Linked DNA regions of Arabidopsis thaliana. The protein of the gene in region 4 purifies or fractionates together with the protein of the main gene of each other region. This does not show direct contact. Each region holds a gene or a part of one and is shown on either strand. Other genes may lie near its edges. The genes, in order: AT5G45620, AT5G19485, AT4G19006 and AT2G44070.

Region 1 (4,731 bases), on a different chromosome or scaffold from region 4:
TAGTCTTTTAGATCAATGAAATCAACAATCTTCCTACCATAACATGAAATTTAGAATTATGTCTAGCTGTTATGGTTTAGAGCACAAATTTAGTAGTACAATACATCATCAACGACACACGCATATATACTCTCACTTCTTAGAATTCACATCTCCACAGTGGTTAACACTCTCGAAGTCACACCGGAATCATAAACGCCATCTAAAAACGTAAATCTTTTGAACCTAAAGCAATATAGCTTCCATGAGCAGGCATAGGAGGAAGAGAAGCGATAAGGATAAAGCCATTGCGTCGGAGAAAGAATATACCAACGGTAGTGACGTGTTTCAGGGTTATGAGGAGTGCATAGAGACAATGTTCTGTGCAACGTAACAATGATCGGAAACGCCTTGAAAGGAGTGAGATTGTTGGGAATTGAATCTTGGTATACGCGCTATGAGTCCAAGATGAAATCATCGGGAAGTGACGTAATCGGAGACCAGTGCCAGAAGCCGCGAGAATCCCCAAATTTTAGGCTCAAATCAACTATTCAGAGTGAGTGAGTCCACGTTTAGATCCTATCAGATGACTTTTTCTATAAACTGATTGACTTGTTATGGTTATGTGAATAATGAATGATTGTCAAGGACATGTTTTAAGAAAAAATGTATGAAAATAGTCTAAATGTAGAACTGAAATTTCGGACATCTTGAAATGGAAGTCAAAAGATTAAAAAGCAATTGTAATTTCTTCTACGACTGAAATAAAAAACTTGAATCTAATCCCAGAGAAGATGGTGTTTTACATTCAGTAGCTTCAAAAGGAGGAAGAAGGTTTTCTTTTCTCTTATGCTGCAACAAGATCTGGTGTCTCGGCTTCAACAGATAGTAAAGTGGTGTGAACTTTGTCAACCCAACTGTCTAATTGATCCCTCAAAGCCTTGATCTGTGGAATCCCTAGTACTCTCGGTTGCGCCCATGAGACATAAATTGTTCCGTTCACTTGGTCTATGATGCCCTCGATCAAATGCACCTGTATCATTCATTTTCCACTTTAGATTCTACAGAAGCATACACAATCATTCTATGTCTAAGTCAGGAACAAAACCAGTCAAGATCATTTGAGTTCTATAACAAAATTACGCAATAAGACGACAACTGCAAATACATAAACCTAGAGATACAATGCGTATGGTGATGTTTACTATGTTGTTCTTAATCAGATGACAGGTAGTTCAGTATCATTATGTTGGTCACTCAGACAAACTCTTTCCTTGGTCACCACAACAGATTTTAACCCGGAAGCTGCAGAGTTTTTTGGGTACTAAAAGAACACAAGAGAGAAAAATGCAAGGAGATACTAATACTTACAGAAAGGCTCTTCATGAGAAGGTGCTCAACATCTTCAATGGAAAGTTTAGTACGCTCAGCGATGATGCTCAAAGGAATGGTTCTATCTTCAGCGGGTCGGCTGATGTAGAGTTTAAAATCAAATGTATTAGCACATGATTTTATTTCTTTGATTGAAACGGCGTGAGGTACAATTGCCTAGAGAAAAGTTTACCTGAAGATGATCTCGATAAGGCAGAGAATGTTGATCTTTTCCAAAAGCTTCTTCTCGTTCTCAACAAGTGCTGGTTGAGCAATCAAGGATGCGTTGTGCACACGGCATAGTTCTTGATACTGAACTAAATCACCATGGTTGAATGCCTGTAGAATGTGGTAGAGCCATTCCACATTTGTTCCAAGGAGACTTTTCAACTGTCATCAGAGAAATGCTACATGTAAGAGAACCATCTACAATTCTAAGCAAAACTATAACATGAGAGTTAGAAGCCGTCTCAACTCACAAACAGTATCTATCGTAAATCCAAGCAATTAAAGATCAACAAGAAGCCTTTTATCTACACAAGAAAATATAACAGTAGTTTATGTCGAGGATGAAGGAAAACTTACAATGGGATGGGCTAACAGTTCCCCAAAGTTATAGATGTTCTCCCCAAGTAGAGCTGATAGTGACAAATCGAAAGCCAAATCCTGAAAGACACAGATATGATCTGACATTAGCAAAATTTGATCGGTGACTCTAGGGAAGCTAACTAGTACGCAACTTTTTTCTTCAGTTTCCTCTAAATTTCATCAAATTTCTGAATACTCTTATCCACTATCGCTAACAGGAAACTTAACATAAGAACAAAATATAAGAACAAGGTACATAATATTACAGGGGCATACCAGCTTAAACGATTCTGAAAGGTCCTCCACAGACGTGTATGCAAGATAAAGCAGAGCACTTTTGTAGAAATCAGAAAATTCTTGACGGCACTTATGGTACTGAGAAGACACCCAATAGAAGTTGGCATAGACTGATGGATCAATGTCAGTCATACTATCAAGAGAGCTCTTTCCATCGTCCAAGATTTTTTTGCACTCCTTCTGATCACCTTGCTCAAGCTTGAATAAAGCTTTTTGTGTTTCAATATAAATGATTGGTTCAGTAATCCTAGGCTCTTTAGTAGCTCTAAGTTTCTCAATCACGCTTTCAAGATAGCTAACTGCAGCTTCTTTCTCAGAGTACTGTCGAGAGACCACCACAGCAAAATGCGCAAGCTTCAGAAGATTGATCTTCGTCTCAAAGTCAGTGATGAAATTGTGATAGAACTGAATCAAAGCATCACCAGCCTGAAATGAAAAAAAATTATATTATAACAATGACACAGGTTAAGATCAGACACAAAAACTTGGAAGCAATCAAAATTGATCTATAAACCCTAAAACCTAACTTTCTTCGAAGAACTTAATCCGAGAAAACCCTATCATCTTCCAAACGGATCTCTAACTCGTGTTATTCGGAAGTAAAAACACAGATTCTACGATATTTGTCGAGATCTATGAACCCTAAAATCCACAAGGACCACTACTAAACCTAGATAGATATTGAAACCAATTAGTATTACGGAGGAGAAGCAAAAGTACCTGAAAGACAGCGAGAGCGATGAACTGTTCGAGCTTAAGGGTGAGTTGATGCCAGAGCTTTTTCTGATACAGATCTGCAAGGGAATTGTACCATTCGCCGAGCTCTGGATGCGTATTTTTCAGAGATTCCAAGTATTGTAGAGCAGCCATGGCGAAAGACGAAGACGAATGAAGAAACGAGTTTGCGAATTCTCTCGATCTTATGTAACTCAGCTCAGCTCTGCGTTTAAAGAATCCTAAAAAACCCTTTTCTCAGTGTTTTCACGCCCGACCCGAACCGTCCGGTCCGACCGGTTAACCCGTAACCCGAACACTTTTCCGGTTTGGGTTTAGTGCTAAAACCCAACAAGTTCAAAACCGAAAAAACCCACAAAAACTCGCAATTAACCCGTGACCCGGTGAACCGGTTGAACCGGCCGGGTGTGGGTTTTAAAAAGTTCTCTTGATTTTACAATAAAATATGGGATTTTAGACTTTATTCAATTATTTTTAGAAGTTTTTTCAGTTCTTAAATTCATTTGATGTTTTAGATTTTGTTGAAGACTTTACAATACCGCCTTAAAATTGAATCGAATGGTGAGAGAGACAACCGAGATTAGTTGTTTTAATTCACGATGTTTTATTAATTTATTTATGTCATTGATGATCTCCTAATATATTTGTTACGGTGTTAGACATTTATTGGATTTCAAATTTTTAACCACTTTATTATTATTGTTTGATTTTTTCTATATATATATATATATATTTGGGTGTAAATGATTTTATATTTTGTTAAATATAATATAATTTTATATTTGATTAAATATGATATGATTATTTTTGTTTTATATTTATAAATACTACAAATTTTTTTATTATAAAATACTCTAAATTTTCTATTAATATTAAATTTATTAAATAAATTTTAACTAATTAACCCGTGGTCCAACCCGGTTGACCCGGTGACCCGGTGACCCAGAAGGTAGTCCGGTTCATCGTCCGGGTCGGGTTTCAAAACATTGCCTTTTCTCTTCTTCTTTTTTGCTAAGCAGATAATCCTTTAATTTAAAAAGAAAAGAGAACTACCGGGACCAAAGTATAAATATGTGAGTTTTAAGGGGTATTTATGTAATTTAAATTATAATAAGGTGGATTTGTAATTTAGCATTCCACATGACCGGACAGAGTTTTGAAAACCGGAACAGAAACGAACCAGAAAGTTTTTTTCAGAAAAGAAAAATATAAATATTAGATCAATGTCATTTGATTACTAAATAATCTTATTTATGGTTTACCATAATAATTTTTATTATGACGGTATTTTACAATATTAATAAAATATTGCAAATTTTAAAAATGATTTTCAATTATTTATAAAAATAATATAAAACACATAAAGAAATCAAGTTAATAAGAAAAAGAGAATTTTAACCATAAATAATAGTAATAGTACAAAAAGTTTTTTGGATCCTAAGTTTTACCGACTGCTCCATCAAAAACTTTAAAGCGAAAGATGATTATTTACGATGGATCCGTAAATATAGATATCATAAATAGTTTGTATATTGTTGTTACCTTATGTTTTCATGTTAAGATGTTTATTTGCTCATTTTTCTTTTATGTTATGTTTTGATCAATGACAATTTAATCTATTAGGTTATGTTTTGGAATTAATTAGATAACATTTTGATAACCGGTGATAACAACAACTTGATGACCGGTGATAACAACAACGGTTATGTTTGCTATTTAAAATTTATTTTGAAAGCATGTTAAATGAAAAATTTGAATATC
Region 2 (5,282 bases), on a different chromosome or scaffold from region 4:
CAAAATTAGGGTTTTTATCTTCTTCCCCTTGACTTTGGAAGCTGCTATTCCTCTGTAAAACAATAGCATGAAGAAGAAGCTCCAGACACGTTTTCCAGCGGTATGAAACATTACTTTTCACTGTTTTATAGTTTGTTATGTTCTTCTTCTTATGGAGATAACCATGAACTCTGTTTTGTGAGTTGTGAGAGTAGTTAGGTTCAACTTTTGCTATGATTTCAGGTTTACTTCTTCAGGGTTCCATGGTCCTTGTCTTCATTAGGTTTTTAAATTTATCTTTGTGAATGTATCTTTGGACTTGGAGGGCTCTTTTGTTCATGGCTAGATATAAATAAACTGCAGAGATATCTTGTTTAGGGCTAATCAAAGATGTTGATATCTACATAAGAAATTTCTTAGTGTCTGAGTCTGATTTTGTATGTGTTGATATGTTCAAAATTTGTTTCAGACAAGGATTAAGAAGATTATGCAAACTGATGAGGAAGTTGGCAAAATAGCAATGGCAGTCCCTCTTCTTGTTTGTAAGTGATGTGATGTTTTTGATTTTCTTACTCAAACGTTGTTCATATGTTAGCTTGTGTCACATGTAGTTGATCTGTTCTGGTTTTGAATTTAACTTTTCAGCTAAAGCTTTGGAGCTGTTTTTACAAGACTTGTGTAATCACACGTATGATGTAACTCTAAGCCGAGGTGCTAAAACTGTCAACGCCTTTCATTTGTAAGTGTGAATCTCATCTTTGGATTTTGCTTATATAAACCAATTGTTTTCTTGCTTCTTCAATACTTTTCTATTCTTTTTCCAGGAAGCAGTGTGTGCAAGCGACTAATGTCTTTGATTTTCTAAGAGACACTGTCGCTAAAGTTCCTGATTTGGGTGGCTCAGACACTGAAGACCAATCAGCTACCAAAAGAAGGTTAGGCCCGCTTCTTCTATAGTTCTATTCTATGTCAGCAATCAATCTACCTAATTTTGATATCGGTATCGTGTCTAACAACTTGTTTGTTCGACTTTTCAGGAAAGTTGTTGATGGAAGTAGTTGCAACGATGAAGATATGATAAAGACCACTCAAATGGTAACTAGCCAGACTTATTTTGCCAATAGACAATTGTATATTACTTAACGCATATGTTTCGCCTTGTTACAGCATGAGGTCAAACATACTAGCTGTGGCAGAGGAAGGCGAGGTAGAGGCCGCGGACGAAGTAGTGGAAGAACAGGAAGTGGGCTGTCTCTAAAATTTGAAGAAGATTTAGAAGACGGTTCTCCCGAAAGCAGCAGGACCCCGTCTCCCGAAAACGGGAGCCTTTCTCACGACGATACATCTTGGAAGAAAGTTGCATCACACAACAATCATCATAGTAGTAACTCAGAGGTAAAAGTAAGGAACTTCGATCTTAATGTTGAATTAGATGAGAATGGAGACAATGCTACATGGCTGGAAACACAGCTAGAGAGAAGTCCAGATTACCCGTTGGAGATTAACGAAATGAAAATAGATCCTGATGATCAACAACAGGCTAGTGCTAGTGACGAGGAAGATTATGATGAAGAAAGCATAGACCAAGAGTGAAAGAGTTTCAGTTTAGGTGAAATGACTTAAAACTAAAGGTAGGAGAAAGAAAACAACAACTTAGGAATTGACACACTTATATATTATAGAAGCAGTGTGTATGTAGGAGATTGCTCTCATTCTCTTTAATGTAATTTCGTTTTTTTCATTCATCTCTTCTAATTTGATAGCAAGCTTTACACAAACTATAAAATCATATACATAAAGTATGGTTTAATCTTTGTTAATGTTTAATTTTAATTAAAATATTTAAGTGAGATAGATAACCCAAGATTAATGGAACGACCCGTCGGATCCAAAAGAAAGAAACAAGCGGGTTAAATTGATATCGTCTTCGTCTACCGTTTCTCAAAATCAAAACCCCAGAAAGCAGAAACCTCTCTTCTTCGTCTTCTCTCGTCAATTCAGCTGCGACAATGGATTTCCAGGTCGTGATTCTAGCCGGCGGATTCTCTAGTTATCTTGTTCCCTTAGTCGCCAAGGTCCGTCTCTCTCTTTCACTCTCATCATCAGCATAACAGTTTCGACGAATTGCTAATTTGTTGTTGTTGTTCAGGAAGTTCCTAAGGCGTTGCTTCCCGTAGCGAATCGTCCGGTGTTGTCTTACGTTCTGGATCTTCTCGAGAGTAGTAATCTCAAGGATCTGATCGTCGTACGCCTTTTATCTTTTCAATACAATTACTGATTTCCTTTTGCGAGTTTCTAGGTTGAATGTTTTCAATAGAGCTCAGATTTTTTCGTTTCGCATTGGTGGAACAGGTTGTTGAAGGGGAAGATGCTGCTTTGAAAGTTGGTGGATGGATTTCTTCTGCTTGTGTTGATCGTTTACATGTTGAGGTATTTACTCATCTATGGCATCTGAATTCTGTAAAACTCTATGCATGATTGAAAGAAACTAGTGTCATATTCGTTATTAATGTTCTGCTGGATATTTTACTTTAGGTTGCTGCTGTTGCTGAGAATGTTGGAACTGCTGGGGCACTCAGGGCAATTGCACACCACTTAACTGCCAAAGACATTTTGGTTAGCTTTTCAATAAAGACGTCTCGTAGCTTTTGCTTTGTGCAACTTTTTGAGCTTCTAGTTAACTGGTAATTTGCTTTGACGTAGATCGTAAGTGGAGACATTGTTTCTGATATTCCTCCTGGTGCTGTTGCCGCCACTCATAGAAGGCATGATGCAGCAGTGACTGTTATGCTTTGTGCTCAACCTGTCAGTGGGCCATCAGAATCAGGAGGTTCTGGTGGGAAAGATAAAACCAAAAAACCTGCTTGCGATGATATCATAGGGCTTGATTCCTTGAAACAGTTCTTGTTATACATAGCCAAAGGTCCTACTTTTAATTTTTCTTTATGTTTCTTAGAGGTAACAAAATGCTTGAACTTGTTGTTGGTTTACCTCCTGAAATTGTGTTAGGTACTGAGATTAAGAAAGATACCCGAGTAAAAAAGAGCATTCTCTGTGCGGCTGGCAAGGTAATGTTCTTATTAAGTTTTTGAAATTACCTACAAATGCATCTTTTTATGATTCATATATTACAAATTCTTAGTACAGTTTCTAATTATCTTGTCATTTTCGATTTAGATGGAAATTCGATCAGATCTGATGGATTCTCATATATATGCCTTCAAGAGGTTGGTCAGATCTGCTTTCCTGCTATCAAAGTAGTTTTATCTGTCGATACTCAATATGTTCTTTTGTCTTACAGAGCAGTTCTGCAGGAAGTTTTGGATCAAAAACCTGCTTTTAGGAGCCTAAAACAGGATGTACTACCGTATCTTGTTCGTACACAGCTGGTTAGTCGGATACGGTCCTTGCAAATGACCATTTTTTTTTTATTACCATTTTGATTCCTTATTTGTGCGGTTTCCCCTTGAGTATCAGAGATCAGATGTCTTCTCTGACCAAAGTAATGTAGAAGAAAATGGGAATGGAAATGGAAAAAATAATATGCAGAACAACGAGGTGGTCTTGTCTCAAATTCTCTCCAACGCATCCATGCCAAGCTTTCATCAAGTCTATGAATCAGGTCTGGGTACCCGGAAAACCCATAAATGCTGTGTTTATATAGCGGATGAAAGTAAGTATTTCGTCCGCTTGAATAGCATTCAAGCCTTCATGGACGTAAACAGAGATGTAAGTTGTTTACACATGGGATTCCTTCTCCAGTATTTTTTTCTCAGTTGACTTATGAAGCTCCGCAATTGTTCAAACTTGTGCAGGTTATTGGTGAATCAAACCACCTATCTGGATACTCCTTTTCTGCTCATCACAACATTGTCCACCCATCAGCTGAGCTTGGATCGAAAACCACAGTACGTAACTCTACATGTGTAGATATTGAGCATTTGTTCTGTGAGTTGTGATCGTGAATAACAATTTTTGGGTTGCAGGTTGGACCTCATTGTATGCTTGGAGAAGGCTCTCAAGTCGGTGATAAATGCAGTGTCAAAAGATCTGTAATTGGGAGACATTGCCGGATAGGCTCCAATGTGAAGGTAATAATTAGCTTTTTACTCAAGCCAGCCAAAGAAAGGTGGTGTACATCTCGAAAAGACACTCAACTGCTTGTATATGTGGGTGCAGATTGTTAATTCAGTTGTGATGGACCATGCCACAATTGGAGACGGATGTTCAATACAAGGCTCAGTCATTTGCAGCAACGCACAGCTTCAAGAGCGTGTTACTCTAAGAGACTGCCAAGTACGTTACCCCCTTCAGTTTTCATAATACAGTGTCCCCTACGTATCAATGCTTTTACAGATTCCATAATCAAAACATCAATTGGTTTTATAGGTGGAAGCAGGGTATGTTGTTTGTGCCGGGAGTGAGCACAAAGGAGAGACCTTTGCTAGAAAATGAAAAGGAAGGATAAGCAAATGAGGTCACATCTTGGAACGCTTTTTTAAAATGAAAAGCAGCATTACTTAGTCATTCGTTTGGTAGGAGAGAAGAGTGTGAAGGATTGGAAAGTTTCCCACTAAGGGTTTTGTTGATTAAGAGTTTGAGATTTTCCGTTAGTATCTTTTACTGATAGAGTTTGATCTTTTGCTATTCATTACATATACATGAAGTCTTGAAACACTTTGTCAGCCACTGACCCTTCTCTCTGTTCCGTTGGTTATATTACATATGTCTTTTTTTGTTCTTCTCATTATTTACTCTTTTGTTCGAGATAAAACACTTTCCTGAAAGATCTAAATTTTGTTTTTGGTATTTCCATAGAGACGAATACACCCAAAAAGTCACATGCCTTCAGATTCGATAAATTTCAGAGTAAATGATTTCGAATGTATGAAACCTTTCTGTTTAAATAGTCACGAGAATAGATAAACTTCATAGCTTGTTTAAAGTGTAACAAAATGTACAAGTTGTGATTCTTCTTGGCGAACTTTTCGTTGCTTAACCCCTCCTAACTTCTCCCACAATGCAATTTTTATTTAGAGATTAAACCTGCAAAACCAAATCCAAATCATTTTATGTTATGTTGAGACAAATCTACACCATATAGAAACATTTCTAATTATTTGAGACTCCAAAATAAAGTTAGTGCACTCTCGGTCGCTAGAGTTCCAGGTTATCTTCTTATAAGCCTTAGACAATAATTATTTCTTCATGTTTAAAACAACCATAGCTTTGTTGACTCAATCATATTCATCATGTACAGTACCGTTGGTTATGACAGACGCAGCCCCATATGAGAAACGTGC
Region 3 (4,797 bases), on a different chromosome or scaffold from region 4:
GGGTTATCACTCTTTGTGATGGGATTGTTGTCTCTGGGATCAACTATTGTTGTTATGAAGAGGTTTGATGCTTCTGATGTTGTTAATGTAATTGAAAGGTTTAAGATCACTCATTTCCCGGTTGTTCCACCTATGTTGATGGCATTGACAAAGAAGGCAAAAGGAGTTTGTGGTGAAGTGTTTAAAAGTTTGAAGCAAGTTTCTTCTGGAGCAGCTCCTTTGAGTAGGAAGTTCATTGAAGATTTCCTTCAGACTCTTCCTCATGTCGATTTGATTCAGGTCTCTGAATTTTACTTTTGGATGTCGTTTTAGAAAACTGAATTAAATGTTATTCATTCATAAACTCAATAAGAAGTAGAATCTACATTTTTTAGAAAAATTTGACATCTCTTCCCAAAAGAAACAACTAAAATTGATTTAACGAGGCCATGACTTTTTGACTCACACTATTATTTTCTTTACATTTAGCTGAAAGTGTGTATAAAATGGATCACATTTTGTTGCAGGGATATGGAATGACTGAATCAACTGCAGTTGGAACACGGGGCTTCAACTCGGAAAAGCTTAGTAGGTATTCTTCTGTGGGACTACTGGCTCCTAATATGCAAGCCAAGGTAGTAGATTGGAGCTCTGGTTCTTTCCTTCCACCAGGAAACCGAGGAGAGCTCTGGATACAAGGTCCCGGTGTCATGAAAGGTAGATAGATTCTTCCTACTGTACTTCTTTACCAAAATAGTTGAGATTTTCCTTCTCAGTTCATGAATAAAGTCTTTTGTCAATGGTTCAAATCACTGAGAAACACTTGCATCCTAATAAATGTAAATATAGATTGGATCTTCCAACTTTCGTGGGGCTTATTTGGTGCTTGTGTTGATAGATTAGGCTTATTATCTTGTTCTTGATTTTGTGCTACATATTTTTATGGAACAGTTTTAATTTTACTTGGAGAGAATCTGAACACCGTTCATTTGTCTGTCAGGATACTTGAATAACCCAAAAGCAACTCAGATGAGTATAGTTGAAGATAGTTGGCTACGTACTGGGGATATTGCTTATTTTGATGAAGATGGTTACTTGTTTATTGTTGACCGTATTAAGGAGATTATAAAGTACAAAGGCTTTCAGGTAAAGGAACAGCAGTTTCTCTTTCAGCCAACTCTAAATTAGGAAATATTAATTCTTTGCATTTATGGTTTTTGCAGATCGCTCCAGCAGATTTGGAGGCTGTTCTTGTTTCACATCCCTTGATTATCGACGCTGCAGTAACAGCGTAAGTTCGAAAAAACAAATCTTGATCATTTACTAAACTAGTTTAATAAGTGAAAGATACTGCAAATCCAGTTTTGGAGAATTCGACAGAGTCTGTTACTCTACTGAAAGTATCCAAACTTTCCATTTCAGTGCCCCAAATGAAGAATGTGGAGAGATTCCGGTAGCATTCGTTGTCCGGAGACAAGAAACAACACTTTCAGAAGAAGATGTAATAAGCTATGTAGCTTCTCAGGTTAGGTTCCCACTAATTCAAAATGGCTTTTCCCATTTCAAAACACTGATCATTAATGTAATACATTATTATACATTACGTGTTCTAGGTTGCACCCTACAGGAAGGTGAGGAAAGTGGTGATGGTCAACTCTATACCAAAATCTCCAACTGGGAAGATATTGAGAAAGGAACTAAAGAGAATTCTTACAAACTCTGTTTCTTCAAGACTATGATTCTTTCTTCATTTGTTTGGTAATAAGTAGCAGACAGAGAGATCCACTAATATAGCCTTCATAACTCAATTCATTGGTTTTGTAGCATCAAAAGAAATAAACAGACACATTCTTTGATTCTCAGTGAATAAAGCATTGTAACCCAATACGGAAACAAAAATTCTTTCTGAGCCCAAAATGTAATTTTAGCCTTAGTATTTTATTTACATAAAAGTCCTTTTAATCGTTGGCTATTGCATTTATCGCCCAATACTTGTCTTTGAGCTCAAGAAATATAGTTTACTAAAAGGCTGGGTTTTTCTGGATTTCTTACTCCCAAACCGATACAAGATCGAAGCTTTGCCTTCTGTTTCTTCGAAAATCTACCATGGCTGCTCTACAATACCTTGAATCGCAGAAAAATGCGCACCCAGAGCTTGGTGAGTGGTACAATTCGCTCGCAGATCTGTACCAGAAGAAGCTCTGGCATCAGCTCACTCTTAAGCTCGAGCAGTTCATCGCTCTCTCTGTCTTTCAGGTCAATCTCTTGAATTTTCATCGTTTCGTAGTTCTTCTGTGTGATTAGGGTTCATAGATCTCGAGAAAGTTAATAGGAGTCGTCATGTTAGACTTGGGTTTATAGAGAGATCTGAAGGATTCGTTCCGACTCTTAGGTGATTTTTCAGATTCATTGAAAAGCTTTGTATTGGTGAATTATCGCACTTCTGTGACCAAAGCTTTCGAATATTTTAGCTCAGAGATACCCAAAAACTCAGCTTTACAAGGTTTACAGATTTGTTAATGACGTGTTTCCCCCTGTTTATGTTCATAATCTTTGCAGGCTGGAGATGCTTTAATACAGCTTTACAACAATTTCATCACTGACTTTGAGACGAGGATCAATCTTCTGAAGCTTGCGCATTTCGCTGTTGTAGTCTCCCGACAGTATCCTGAGAAAGAAGCTGCAGTTAGTTATCTTGAAGGAGTGATTGAGAAGCTTAAAGCTACTAAAGAGTCAAGGATAAATGAACCAATTAGCTATATAGAAACACAAATAGCTTTGTTCAAGCTTGAGCAAGGTGACCAGAAGGAGTGCAAGAAAATCTTGGACGATGGAAAAAGCCTGCTTGATAGTATGACTGACATTGATCCATCAGTTTATGCCAACTTCTTTTGGGTCTCTTCTCAGTACCATAAAGTCCGTCAAGAGTTCTCTGAGTTCTATAAAAATGCTCTTCTTTACCTCGCTTATACGTCTGTGGACTCACTCTCGGAATCATTTAAGCTGGTACGTCCCTCTGAATGTTCTAATCATTCATATATGATATATGTAGTCGTTACGTTACCAAATGGTCTTTTAGCAATTTTGGATAAGTATTAGCACTCTATGAAAGGAAACTTACAGTGAAAAATGCTTTATCTCTGTAAATTGCTTTGTGTTCCAATCAAAATGTTAATATCATATACTTTCGTTTCTTTCAGGATTTGGCTTTTGATTTGTCGCTTTCAGCTCTACTTGGGGAGAATATCTATAACTTTGGGGAACTGTTAGCCCATCCAATTGTAAGTTTCCCTTCATCCTCCAAATTAGCAAACCACAGATTTATTCACCATTATAGATAAAAGAACACTGACATGTTATATATGTTATGGCAGTTGAAAAGTCTGCTTGGAACAAATGTGGAATGGCTTTACCACATTCTACAAGCATTCAACCACGGAGATTTAGTTCAGTACCAAGAACTCTGTCGTGTGCACAATGCATCGTTGAGTGCTCAACCAGCACTGGTTGAGAATGAGAAGAAACTATTAGAGAAGATCAACATTCTCTGCCTTATTGAGATCATTTTCAGGTATTCATTCTCTGTAGGAGTCATCTTATACCCATATACAGATGAAAACAAACTTAGTACTTAACTTGTATATAACATCTTTGCCACAGCCGACCTGCTGAAGATAGGACCATACCTTTGAGTGTCATTGCCGAGCGTACTAAACTTTCAATCGAAGATGTTGAGCACCTTCTCATGAAGAGCTTATCGGTGAGTACCTTTTTCTTTCCTCTCTCTTTCTCTCTATCTCATTCTATCAGTAACATTAAAAATCTAAAGAAGATTGGCAAGACGCAGACTCGAAATCTTCTTGAATGTGTGATTCTGTATTGGTTGATTGTGAAAACTGAGGAGAATGAGTTATTGCAGGTGCACTTGATAGAGGGAATACTAGATCAGGTGAATGGAACAGTTTACGTCTCATGGGCGCAACCGAGGGTGTTAGGAATACCGCAGATCAAGTCATTGAGGGATCAGCTAGACAGCTGGGTCGATAAGGTTCACACCACATTGTTATCTGTTGAGGCCGAGACACCTGATCTTGTTGCAGCTTAAACTCTTCTTTCCTCTTTTTTCCTTCACTGTTCGTTTAAGCTACAGATTGTAACATTCTCTGAGGATTAAATGCAACTTCCTTTTAAGTTTTTAGGTATTACAGTTATACTTTTGAACTTTGTTCTCCACAGACACATGAATCTATCCTATTAAGTTGAGTTTCATCGTTAGTGTTGCCTTTAAGGCTTAAGCCTATTTGCATAACAAATGGTCCAACTTTTGTTATTAGACGTGTGAAAAACTCATAAATCTCAAATAGTGGAATGAATCCAAATTGTCAACTTCTGAAATGAAAAGTGTAAGGGTAAAATAGTCAAAACATATTAAACCCCAATTATCACCATCGTTTCGTTTCAATCAAAATTTTCCGATTTTGAGATTTTGAAACAGAGCAGTCAAGTCTCAAAGACTCCAGCTCATCTGTCTGCTTCGTAAGCTGCTCGCTCTCTAAATGTTTTGTCTTCTGGGGAATAGATTTTAGGGATCATCGGTAGATGCTGTTGGATTGACATAATCCAGATCTGATTTCTTCTACAAAAACATAGCTTTCTTCTCTGGGAACAATAGATTTTGATTGTTGTTTCTGGGTTTTAGATTTCTAATGTTGGGGTTTTGGTGATTCGATTTCTCAATAATGCTTCAAAATCGAAAATTGAATCGGTTAGAGCTATTTTGGGAATCTCTTTGCGTTAATTCGAATTAGCATATTTGCA
Region 4 (4,008 bases):
AGCTAGTGTCAAGAAGAAGAAGAAGCGTTTGGCAGAAGCAGCAGCCAAAATGTGATATGGGTGAACAAGTTTCGATTTTCTTCAAACGTTTCTTTCTTTTAAAAAGCCTCCAATGTTATTTGGTTACGTTATTGAATCTGTTTTTTGAGAGTTTTTTAGGCTTCATGAAACTAGAAGATCTTTGATCAGTTGAGAATAAATATGGTTACGTGTTTACTTTTATTAAAAAAAAAAAATCGAATTCAAACGTTTTCATCATAACAACGTTTAAAACAATGCGAATTTCTTTTTTTTATATATATATTAAAATCGTCGAAATCAAATTTGAGAGATTTATATGCTTATACTAGAGAAAAGGGTCTAAAAAGAAAAGAAAAGGAAACAAGAGAAAGAGTCAAAAGGTTGGAACAATATGATGCATTGAATCAATCCCCACGATAAAAAAAAAACATTCAGCAAAAAAAAACATTCAGCACAAATGTCTTCTTTGACTAATTAATTACCCCAAAACATTAATCAAAAAAGTGAAGAAATCAATTTGACATCTTCCTTGGTCTAAACAAACAACCAACTATTGAAAAAGTTCCTTATAGTGGTTTTTGAAAATTGAAACAAAAAACGAGAATGGTATTCTATAGGGAAAATAGTGAAAGAAGCCCACAGAATTGGAATAAGGAATGAGAATTAGATGTAACAAACAACAGAACAGCAACCATGCCTTATAATCTTGGGTCCTACTCCTCCATATCATTTCATTTTTATTCTTACTTCTATTTTGAGCATCTAAATAACAATCTTTGAGCTTTGAAGCAAGTGTTCTTTCTGATATTCTCTTACGATGACAGGCACACTTGTGGGAGGTACCTGAAATATAAAACATGGTCAGTGTTCAATGGTTTGAGATTCTGAATGAGTGGAGAAACTGTGTTGCATGAGTTATGTTTAGGGATGAGATCACTTGATCACCATAATGCTATGTTTTTAATTAAGAGCCGATATGATTAATCTTACCATGCCATAATCTGTGATTATCATGGAAATGTAATCTGAAGGTGTAGCATCATACCTATCATTAGAAAAAAAATCACAAACGGGTTTAGTGGCAGGCAGAGAAGAATAGTATTAACAGAACATATATAGTTTCACTTGTACGATTAACACAAGCTAGCTTACATCAAGTTCAGAAACTTCAGCTTTGCATTGTTGGTCAAGCCATTTAAGTAGTTTATGTCTTCTCTTCCATGAACTTTTGAAATAGCATTTGGATCACCGAGCTCATTGGAGCATATTGAATAATCCAACTGCACCTTCTCATGGAACTTATAGGCTTCGCAACAAACAAGCACAGGAACACGGAAAGCATTAGCCACCATTGCAACACAAGCAGTGCCAACCCTTGAGTAAACTGTTCCGTTAGAAAAAACTGATGAGGCGCCCAAAAACACTTTGGTGACTTGGTGCATGATATATGATATGGCAGTTATATGAGTGTATGTACAGTTAATGCCTCGTTTGATCAATCTACGAAGCAGTAGCTTCCCTTGAAGCTTTGGTCGAGAATCCACCACAAAGACACGAAACTTTTTCCCGAGTTCATGTGCATGCACTAATATCATCTCAATGACAGTGGAAGATCCGTAGGTCAGAAGGACATCACCGTCTCTTATTTTAGTGACAGCATGTTCGACTATCACTGTATCTGCACCTATGATTTTCTCGTTAATGAAACGTTCAATATCTGAGTGAAGAGAAGCTTTTGCTTCAGATTCAGAAAGTGTTATAGGCAGCTTTGCAATCCTGTTTTTCACAAATCGGATTGCGTTTCCCATGCTAATCGAAAGCGGACGGCATTCTATGAGGAAAGAGACGTAGCTACTTATTTGAGCAGTCATGTCTCTATTAAGGGTATTCTCAGGCGGCGTCGAGTAATCTTTAACAACCTCTTGGAATGCTTGGAGCATCGCAATACATCTGGCATTGCCACCAGAAATATCCCAAGAAAGATAATGAAGACCAACCTGATAACCACAACAACGTCATACTCATTCACTAGACAAGTAACATTCATCTTAATGAGCAACCACTTATTAAAACAAAGAGATTATATAATTGTATATTACAAGCACTAACCATACCTTGTACACAGCAGAATGCATAGGGTCAAGAAGTTACGATTTTCTCAAATGCTTCTTCCTTTAAAAAGCCTCAAGGTTTGGTGACGTTATTGAATCTGTTTTTGAGAGTTTTAGGCTTCGTGAAATTGGAGGATCTTTGATCAGTTAAGAATAAATATGGTTAGGTGTTTCCTTTATTTAAATATCATCGATCGAAATCAAACGTTTTCGTCATGACCACGTTTTAAACAATGCGTTTTTTCCTTTTTTTATATACTAAAACTGTCCTAATCAAATTTGAGAGATTTTTATATATATGCTTATGTATTACTAGAGTAGGGCTCAAGTAAAAATTCGAGGAAAGGGTCTAAAAAGTATAATTCAGAAAACGAATAAAAAAGGAAACACGAGAAAGAGTCAAAAGGTTGGAACAATGCATTGAATCAATCCCCACGATAAAAAAAAAAAAAAAAAAGAAACATTCAACACGAATGTCTTCTTTGACTATTATCTATTAACCCAAAACTTTTAGTTATATATACATTTTATCTTTTTGATGAAACTTTGAATGCTGTAGGCTGTAGCAGAGAACAATATATTCTTCAGCAATATTAGTTTTAAGACGTTCACTGATAGATTAGAGTTAGAAATTAGTCGGTATTAAACCAAAAAAAAACACACACTAGTATAATACACTTGACCGCATAATTTTGCTTCCACTTGAAAAGTGAAGAAATCTATTTGACATCTTCCTTGGTCTAAACAAACAAGCAACTATTGAAAAAGTTCCTTATAGTGGTTTTTGAAAATTGAAAAAAAAAAACAAGAATGGTATTCTATAGGGAAATAGTGAAAGAAGCACATAGAATTGGAATTAAGATTGAGAATGAGATGTAACAAACAACAGAGCAGCCAGCCAGCCACCATCCTTGCAAACTTGGGTCCTACTCCTCCATATCAATTCCTCATTTCATCTTTATTCTTACTCTTCTCTTTAATCTTCTAATTAACAATTTTTGAACTTTTCATGTTTTGGTACATAACCAACGAAAAAAGAAACAAGTGACGTACAAAACACAAGAAGAAAATGAAATTATCTTAATTGATTCTGACCTAAAGAATTTAACATTTTCTCTTTCAAATCTTTTGTAGCAAGGGAGGTGAAACGAAAACGAATCATTAAGATACGTGCAATGAATCCAATAACCTCTATGACTAGCAGATGCATGAATTTTATTTTTGTGTTTCTGTTATGCATCTTTTTAGTTGCTTTTTAAGTCTGGTCATATCTTCGCTCAGACTTCACTGATGCAAAGCTGGATACAAAATCGACAAAAGTATATGTCCCCATATATTCCTATCTTTATACTGAAGAAAATATATACTTTAGCTTTATCTATCGCACTACTTTAGTCTTTAGAGTTGATTTATCAATTAGTTCCTAAATCAACTAATGCACATGATTTAATGTAATTAATTGTCTCTTAATTGTACGGATTAGGTGATGAAGATCCACCGTCCACCATGGCTGTAGTACCTAATTAATACCGTGTAAACTTTAAACCACGGGTATTACTTATGATTGTTATTAGAAAATAACATTAGCTTACCTCAAAAAAAATGAGGAATTTGTTTTTGATTTCTAGCAAAAAAAAAATGAAACCAAAAATGATTAGACGACTCTTTTGTTTGTAGACACAATAAATAATATAGAATTTTTGTAAGAAATTAATAGTTTAGAACAATATGCGTGTATTCAAAAAGAATATAATTAAGAATATTTGAAATGATTAAATACCAATATTATTATATTAGTTTATATTTTTAAATCAAATTACTCAATTACAAAAATAATACATTAGAAAATGATTAATTATATTTTTCTAAAGTGTTA

Evidence for each region.
Region 1: the proteins of AT2G44070 (region 4) and AT5G45620 fractionate together in Arabidopsis thaliana (co-fractionation; one large-scale study listed by BioGRID). This does not show direct contact.
Region 2: the proteins of AT2G44070 (region 4) and AT5G19485 fractionate together in Arabidopsis thaliana (co-fractionation; one large-scale study listed by BioGRID). This does not show direct contact.
Region 3: the proteins of AT2G44070 (region 4) and AT4G19006 fractionate together in Arabidopsis thaliana (co-fractionation; one large-scale study listed by BioGRID). This does not show direct contact.

The regions. Positions count from the first base shown.
Region 1 is NC_003076.8:18,499,964-18,504,694, reverse strand, and holds AT5G45620 (Proteasome component (PCI) domain protein), read right to left. Parts: upstream 3,210-4,731; 5' UTR 3,106-3,209; coding exon 2,956-3,105; intron 2,662-2,955; coding exon 2,215-2,661; intron 2,017-2,214; coding exon 1,936-2,016; intron 1,741-1,935; coding exon 1,544-1,740; intron 1,451-1,543; coding exon 1,351-1,450; coding exon of another isoform or gene 1,273-1,350; exon of another isoform or gene 1,013-1,272; coding exon 827-1,012; 3' UTR 551-826; downstream 1-550. UniProt on the Arabidopsis thaliana protein: Acts as a regulatory subunit of the 26S proteasome which is involved in the ATP-dependent degradation of ubiquitinated proteins.
Region 2 is NC_003076.8:6,573,059-6,578,340, reverse strand, and holds AT5G19485 (transferases/nucleotidyltransferase), read left to right. Parts: upstream 1-1,806; 5' UTR 1,807-1,988; coding exon 1,989-2,054; intron 2,055-2,128; coding exon 2,129-2,224; intron 2,225-2,331; coding exon 2,332-2,409; intron 2,410-2,514; coding exon 2,515-2,595; intron 2,596-2,682; coding exon 2,683-2,902; intron 2,903-2,988; coding exon 2,989-3,047; intron 3,048-3,156; coding exon 3,157-3,206; intron 3,207-3,280; coding exon 3,281-3,368; intron 3,369-3,456; coding exon 3,457-3,708; intron 3,709-3,794; coding exon 3,795-3,887; intron 3,888-3,965; coding exon 3,966-4,070; intron 4,071-4,158; coding exon 4,159-4,275; intron 4,276-4,368; coding exon 4,369-4,434; 3' UTR 4,435-4,749; downstream 4,750-5,282. Other genes in the region: AT5G19490 (Histone superfamily protein), read left to right, coding at 68-100, 449-521, 625-718, 804-914, 1,017-1,074, 1,147-1,572.
Region 3 is NC_003075.7:10,408,636-10,413,432, reverse strand, and holds AT4G19006 (Proteasome component (PCI) domain protein), read left to right. Parts: upstream 1-1,965; 5' UTR 1,966-2,085; coding exon 2,086-2,235; intron 2,236-2,538; coding exon 2,539-2,985; intron 2,986-3,179; coding exon 3,180-3,260; intron 3,261-3,353; coding exon 3,354-3,550; intron 3,551-3,639; coding exon 3,640-4,084; 3' UTR 4,085-4,285; downstream 4,286-4,797. Other genes in the region: AT4G19010 (AMP-dependent synthetase and ligase family protein), read left to right, coding at 1-279, 507-696, 980-1,125, 1,203-1,270, 1,402-1,504, 1,593-1,718. UniProt on the Arabidopsis thaliana protein: Acts as a regulatory subunit of the 26S proteasome which is involved in the ATP-dependent degradation of ubiquitinated proteins.
Region 4 is NC_003071.7:18,230,314-18,234,321, forward strand, and holds AT2G44070 (NagB/RpiA/CoA transferase-like superfamily protein), read right to left. Parts: upstream 2,318-4,008; 5' UTR 2,157-2,317; coding exon 2,136-2,156; intron 2,019-2,135; coding exon 1,174-2,018; intron 1,095-1,173; exon of another isoform or gene 1,077-1,094; intron 1,067-1,076; coding exon 1,012-1,066; intron 865-1,011; coding exon 784-864; 3' UTR 552-783; downstream 1-551. Other genes in the region: AT2G44065 (Ribosomal protein L2 family), read left to right, coding at 1-55.